Xenopus tropicalis: one gene and its partner. The protein of the gene in region 2 interacts with the protein of the main gene of each other region in a biochemical or structural test. Links are inferred from orthologs where the notes say so. Each region holds a gene or a part of one and is shown on either strand. Other genes may lie near its edges.

Evidence for each region.
Region 1: the proteins of daxx (region 2) and rassf1 form a complex in vitro, tested with the Homo sapiens proteins (4 studies listed by BioGRID and IntAct, with this or other methods). The link is inferred for Xenopus tropicalis from reciprocal best matches to the Homo sapiens genes DAXX and RASSF1.

The regions. Positions count from the first base shown.
Region 1 is NC_030680.2:127,237,850-127,242,277, forward strand, and holds the start of rassf1 (ras association domain-containing protein 1), read right to left. Parts: upstream 2,835-4,428; 5' UTR 2,177-2,834; coding exon 1,855-2,176; intron 1-1,854. UniProt on the Homo sapiens protein: Potential tumor suppressor. Required for death receptor-dependent apoptosis. Mediates activation of STK3/MST2 and STK4/MST1 during Fas-induced apoptosis by preventing their dephosphorylation.
Region 2 is NC_030684.2:72,189,682-72,192,514, reverse strand, and holds the end of daxx (death domain-associated protein 6), read left to right. Parts: coding exon 1-719; intron 720-1,448; coding exon 1,449-1,560; intron 1,561-1,793; coding exon 1,794-1,847; 3' UTR 1,848-2,221; downstream 2,222-2,833. UniProt on the Homo sapiens protein: Transcription corepressor known to repress transcriptional potential of several sumoylated transcription factors. Down-regulates basal and activated transcription.

The DNA.
Region 1 (4,428 bases), on a different chromosome or scaffold from region 2:
TTCCTATACACATGGATTAAAAATATCAGTGATTTTAAAGTTATTGGTAAATGGAATTGCTTCCGAAAGCAGTGTCTGTCCCTTTGTATTCTCTTTCCTGCTAGCCCTGACTATAGGTGCCACTGAAACTAAGAAGCCATAGTCATCTTGTCTCCTCTGTCTTGGGCACCTGTCTACTACCAATGAAAACGACTTTCTATTGGTGCAATTTTTAGTCCATACACAATGAAACCTTCCGTGTTCTCACACTATACTTCTGTGTTGTACCTTATGATCCAAACAAAAACCTCTGCCTGACTCTCATACAATGGCAATTGGCACAGATGGTTAGATGTCCTTATTAAAACCTGAGTTCAGATGATAAATGTCTGCATTCTCATTGGTTGTTTGGCAATTCTCTGTTGTAGAAACCTCTATTTATAGACTCCCTTTTAACACCCAGCCAATGAGATTCATACAGCTTTAACATATGTTGAATTATTTCACTTTGCTCTAATAATTAAAGCACATTATGGACCAGGTACGGGCAACTGGTATCCGGATGTAGCTGAGGCACACCTTTAGCTCAACCACATCTGAAGTGTCTAAATCTGCATTTCAACCTTATAGACTGCTAAATAATAGATTCTTTCTGAATAAAGCCAGGATATTCCCATGGCTGAGGCTTAACTCTTTCATTTTTTAAAGGTAAAATCAATCAAGTATCCTGCTCTGATGAAAATGGGGCCACAGGGGCCACTCAGTGTTGGGATTTGACATCTTAGACCTGTTGTTCTTTTAGCAGCTTGAGATATTGGGGAATATTATAAAATGGTGAAACAGAGCAAATCTGCTGCTCACACTCTAACCCTTTTTTTCCCCCCCCCAAAGGTCAGAACGTATAGATATTAACTATTCCCTGCCTAATTTCCATGGACAGTCTCTCTTCTGACAGGAATTTTTTTAAGATGCACTAAATTCATAATCTTTATATTGGATTGGTTGGATACTGAATTCTTCCAGTTAATGAATATTGGTTTTTAAAACATATTCATTAAGGCTGAATGGCTGGTGTATGGTGCTGTGGTTGCCATGCAGGGCATTCCACTGCCTACTGTAACTGGTCCAATTCACCCAAAGCAGTACCTGCTCTCTTCGTTTAGCAATTGCCTCCTTCCTATCCTTCCTCAGCTTCCTATTCCGAGCTGTATGGATCACTTCCACTACTCACTGAATGTGGTACCACACAGCAGAACACACTGTAAAGCTGGCTATACACGCAGCAGTATAATCGTGCACAACTTATATATTATATGATTTTCGGACTGTGTGGGCTCCAAATTATCATCCCGATAATTGTTGTACCATGGTGATTGGTAGATCAGACAGGTTAGAAAATTTCATTCCGATAACGCTAAAATCTGTGCATGTATTGTGTATCTGACAATATCCTTGGGGGACCCACAATGTATTTCTGGGACATAACTTTTGTACGGTTGGTGTCTGCCAACTATTTCATGTACAGAACATCCTCAGATTTGTTATATTTAGGGCTTTATACTACAATTTCAGTCTGAATGTTAGTTTCAGATCGTTGTATTTAAACATATAATTGACAAGCAAACATTAGTTGAAGAAGACTGGAATCTAAACTTGTATGGTCACCTTAAGTGTAACACACAGGGAAGGTACCGGCACAGGAAGACACATGTGGAGCAGCAGCCTGACACCAATGTGTCCTCAGAAATCATTTCCATCTAGGCAAATGATAACATGTCCAAATCATCACTGGTTCCTGTAACTTGGGGCTATGACAGAATAGAGATAGGATATGGTAACTAAGGGTTAATATTTGTTTTACCCACTGGTACTCACACACACAGCGAAGGCTTTTCCTGTAGATGCCCCATATGAAGTCCCCGCAGAGGTCACACCAAGTGTGCTGAGTGTTAGATGTGGGCTGGAAATAATGTCCCTCTCCTGCTTTCCCAGGTGGCAGTATGTCACCTTGCCCACCAAGTATTCTCCTTCTCAGGCTCCTCTGCAGAATAGGGGGTGTCCTGCTTGGAGGGATCCTGACAGCATTGGTACGCTCCAGGCGGTGCCCCCCACGGGAGCTTTGCGTCAGATCGATGCCATCCCTCGGCTTCAGATCCTTCAGCTCGATTATCTCATAGCTGGCCCCATTTTCCCACATCTCACAGGATTCTAGTCAGCAGGGGAGTCAAATAACTTCTCCTTTCCTTTCTCTGGCATTAGACAACTGTGCTTTTATGTTAAAGTCTCAGGCTTCCGCCCTCCCCGTGTCTTCTGCTCTTTGTATTTCTGTAGCACTCTGTTCTGTTCATGACTTAAGACTGCAGGAGAAAAAAAAAGCAGCAACAGGAAATTTACAAAGAGTGTAACTTCATCACTTGTATGGGGTGTCCTCATTGCATCTCAGTGCATCCCAGTGCTTGTGCCATGGTGCTAAGGATGGTGCTAGATCTTTCTGGAGGAGGGTCCCACTGCTGACACAAGGGAAAGTGACAGCAGGAATTCAGAGAGGAGCCACTGACCCATATCCACTGCCCCTTGGTGACTGTGCTTGCAGCTCCCAGGATGCCAGTGTACTGCAAAGAATGCACAAAGCAATGCAGGGCAGCCTCCTCCTGGCATGAAGCTAATTCACAACAGTAATTTCATGAAATTCAAATATTTCCGGAAGCATTAAATAGCGTTAAACCTCTGGAAATGTCCCCCAAGTTTCCTGCAGAACCAAGACAAAGAAATCCAGATCTCTGGAAGAGAAGCTGCCAAGATTTACACGTCAGAAGTAAAAAAAAAAAAGACTAAAAAAATGTAAAAAAAAATTATTAGAAGAGAGAGGAGAGGAAGTGCAGCCAAGGGACGCAGTGGTAATCGTCAGAAATCAGAGGGGCATCTCAGCAGGGAGAATCCAGCCACAAGCAAGGGAGAGAGGAGAATGAGGGCTGGGCAGTGTCCGACTCCTGCACACAGAGTACAGAGGGTGGGAGTCAGCCCAGAGGCAACTGTGCTGGGAAAGCTACTCTGCAGATGCTATATACTGTACATTCCAATGGTGGGGCATACATAATACTAAGAGCTTTACTCACTATGCATATACACAAGACAATGCAGGCTTGTATATCACAGCCAGGCATGACCTGCCATTAACAGCCGGCCAACTAGAAGGTGACCAATGAGCCAATCTTTGCCTTACCATTCTTTCTTAGCTTGATACCCTGTTGAGAAATAATACTATAGTCTAGAACAGTGATCCTCAACAAGTGGCTCACAAGCAAACAACCCCTTTGATGTTGCTCCCAGTGGCCTTAAAGTTAGTGCCCATTTTTGGATTTCTGACTTGGAGGCAAGTTTTGGAGGCATAAAGACCATGTGTACTGCTAAACAGTCTCTAGTAGTCTGCCAGCCCACATTGGGCTACTAATTACCTAATCTGAATACTTACTGGTCACCTACTAGGAAAGTTTTTGTGCTTGTGTTGCTCCCCAGTTTTTTTTTCATTGAAATGTTGCTCATGAGTAAAAAAATCTTGGGGATCCCTTGTCTAGAAGCTGTTAAGTAAAACAGGAGGAACAACTTTCCACCACTATAAAGTCCCCTGTCACCCAAAATGTGATCAGTTGTTTTCAGTTGTTCTGACTTCTATGGAACTGTGGAGGCCTTGGACTAGTACAGAAGCCCAAAACATAATGTGTAGCATATCTAGCCTTATTCTTTGGTGAGCTCTAGGCCAGGGTCACACTGTGTGTTATCTCCGCTGCTGTAGATACACTAGGGCTGCAAACCACCATTGTTCCATTCAGATGTTGTTAGTGGTAGACTGGGGTTGTGCTACACAAGTGGCCTCCACACCACCTCAGGAGTCCCCACAGCCCACTCACCCACCACCAGCCCTCCCCCATGCACATACATTATACTTTGTTCCGCATCGGAGGGCTGTGGCAATGGGGGGTATTGAGGCTTGGAGGCACCCACTGGATTTTTTCCTGGTGTCCTCCCAGCCTAGTCCGACCTGGATAGTGTGATGGTAGTGAGGGGAATATTTCACCCAGAAAAGCTTCAATTAACATCCTCAGTGCCACGTTCCAGTATAGAATCCCAGTCACATTATGACTGGTACTTACTGCACTCCCTGGCATGTCATTGAAACCAGCATTTAGTAAACATGCCATTCTTTACCCCAAAAAATGTGCAGAAGGCCTTTCATTTAGTTATAAATTATACTTTTAGATCCTTCAGTGGATGATTGCATCCAGACATATCCAAGTGTGTTCATTGTATTACCTAAGGGTATTCGCAGACTGGGAGATTTCTAGCATTTTGTCGCCACAGCATTTTCTCCATATGTGGGAGGAGGATAAAATGCTAGAATCTAAAGTCAATGGAAATTCCCAGCAAGTGCTGTGTCCAGTCTAGTGACAG
Region 2 (2,833 bases):
GCAGTAGTTGTGGGTAAAAAGACTGACATGTCTACAAATAGGTCACCTATGGACTGTCCTTTGCAGTCAGACTTGTCTAACTTAACTGGGAATATGCAGGATAACTTTGTTCCAGAAATCAAAATCAGGTTGAAAAGTGCTACTCAAGATAAACATTATCAGTTACTTACAAAAAACACTGAAGTAAGTGCCACACAAACAGAAGAAGTTTTGCAGTGTGCAGCAGGTTTGGGAACATGTATTGGGAACATAAAGTCAAACAAACCATGTGAAAAAGGCAATAGCAATAATCCAGTTGAACCTCATGAGCTTGAAAGCAAGAGAGCAGAGAAAGAGGATGATGGAATATGTATCATTAAAATGCCACTTCCTAAAAGCTGTATAGCTGCTGAAGCACAAACCAACATGGAGCCATTACATGGTGATATCAGTGATGAGGCTGATTTCTCTAAAGTTTCTGATGTGTCACATTTAAGTAACAAAAATGGTGTATCCATGAAAATACAGGAGACTGCAAAATGTCTACAAAGTAGAACAGTCAGTGTAATTGGGTCCTGCAGTGACTCCGTGATGAATGTAAAAAGTAAAGAGGGTCATGTCAAAAGCATGAAAAGAAAGAAGAGCCTGACACAGACCTCACCGAAAAATGGGGATGGATTATTCAATGGCACAGATGACAAAGGGGAAGGAATAAAAATTAAGCGTCCAAGAAAAAATTGGTAAGGAAATTAAACAGTTTAGCAATAACCTCACTGAGGAAGTAAGGTAAGTCTTTTTCAGATGCAGATGACCACATGGTTGGAATGTGCTGTGCTAAAACGTTTGATTGGTTGCCCTGCATTACTGCCCAGATGCAAAGTTGCCCAGTGTTTAGAAGTGACCCACATGGTGTTTTATACAATAGAACAAACTCCTAAGGTGGCCATACACGTAGCAATTTCAATCTTTTGTGTGACCATTGGTTGCACGAAAGGTCGTTCCCACCTTCCACTGACGTTCAGGGCTGAATCGTCTGATATGGAGGTAGTAACAATAGAAATCCTACCTCCACCTGCGATTCAGCCCTGAACGTAGATTTTGCTCAATCTTTTAACCTGGCCGATCGACGAGTTCACCGATATCCGCAGCCTTTTGCAATATCAGTCGCCTCTTCGAGCAGCCATACGCGCACCGAATATCATAAGAAATGAGGTTTCGTACGATATTATTGGTGCGTGTATGGCCGGCTTTAAATGATTTCTGGGAGCTAAAACCACATAGAAATAACTGTCTCAGATTGTTTACTTTTTCAATTTTTTGGTTCTGGATCAAATCGGAATTGAAAAGTGAACAAAAAAGCTTTGGAGGGAAGAAAAGCAAGAAGATAATTCTTTTTAATGCAAATATAGGATTCTGTAAACCAAGTTAATGTCAGCAAAATATTTAATTTCTTACCTTTCTCTTCCTAGCACCTCTGATTCAGACAGCAACAGTCAATTTTCACCTGAAATTTCTTTAGACCTGATTGTGAGCTGCAGCCCTCCAGAATCTCCCTGTCCTGCATCAAATCAGGGTCTCAAGGTAAGTAGAAAAACAACATTTTATAAAGGGGTAGGCAACATAATATTTAATATCTGTTAAATATTTGTCTTTTACTCCTTCATCCAACTTTTATTTTTTTTCATATTTTTCTTTCCTAATTGAATTCACCTCCTAGTTTGGTATTCAAACTCTGGTTCTTTTTATTTTTTTTTTTATTCTCTAAACCTCGTGTCTTCCTCTGACTTTGTCTGACAACTTTTCTTTGCTTTCAGTCTCATGCCTCAACACAGTGTGACCCTGATGAAGTGATTGTGCTTTCAGACTGAACTTACATTGGAACAATTAATTTATGAGCAACATTGACTAAGGTTTCTTCTGCGGCTATATATGGACTATCTTCTACAGGTGTTGACAAGCATTGATTTTTTTTTATTCATGTATAGTATAGTAAGGATAACACCTGGATGAATTATCTTGGCTTGATAAGCGGACCAATGGCACTGAATTGTTTGGAGGCTTCTGGGAAGTTTTATATATGGGCTATGGAACTCATATAGAGGGTTAGTTCTTGAAGGGCTATGTGCCTCTTCAGATTTGGGTATATCCCAGGGATTATTTTGGATATCTCCTGCAAACAAACCTTTTTTTTGGATTTGTAAAAAAAAAAGAAAGAAAACTTTAATAAATTTGTGTTTTATTACTACTGAGTCATGTTTTTCTTCTTACACAGTTCTGAAAGTGTCACTGGTAATATGAAAACAAAGGTGGTAAAGCAAACAAGGAAATTAAAGAGCAACAGAATATTTTAATGTTATGTAAAACAAATGAGAAATGTGTCAAACTCAATCCTTGGAACAGGGTAAATGCAGGAAGTCTGCAAGGCACTTAAACGGGTTGTTTGCCTTTAAATTAACTTTTAGTATGATGTAGAGCAGGGGTGGCGAATACATTGATCGCGGTCCACCAGTCGATCCCCGAGGATTTCTGGTGGCCTGCATCACATACGTACGAATTCACGCCGCACTTCCCACGTCGTCAGTCGATCGGAGGAAAAAAGTCTGCCCATCCCTGATGTAGTGTGATATTCTGAGACAATTTGCAATTGGTTTTAATTTGTTATTGTTTGCGGTTTTTGAATTATTAAGCTTTTTATTTAGCAGCTCTCCAGTTTGCAGTTTTTCCATTCTGGTTGTTAGGGTTACCCTAGCAACCATGCACTGATTTGAATAAGCTACAGGAATATGAATAGGCGATTGCCTGAATAGAAAGATAATTAATAAAAACTTGCAATAACAATACATTTGTAGCCTTA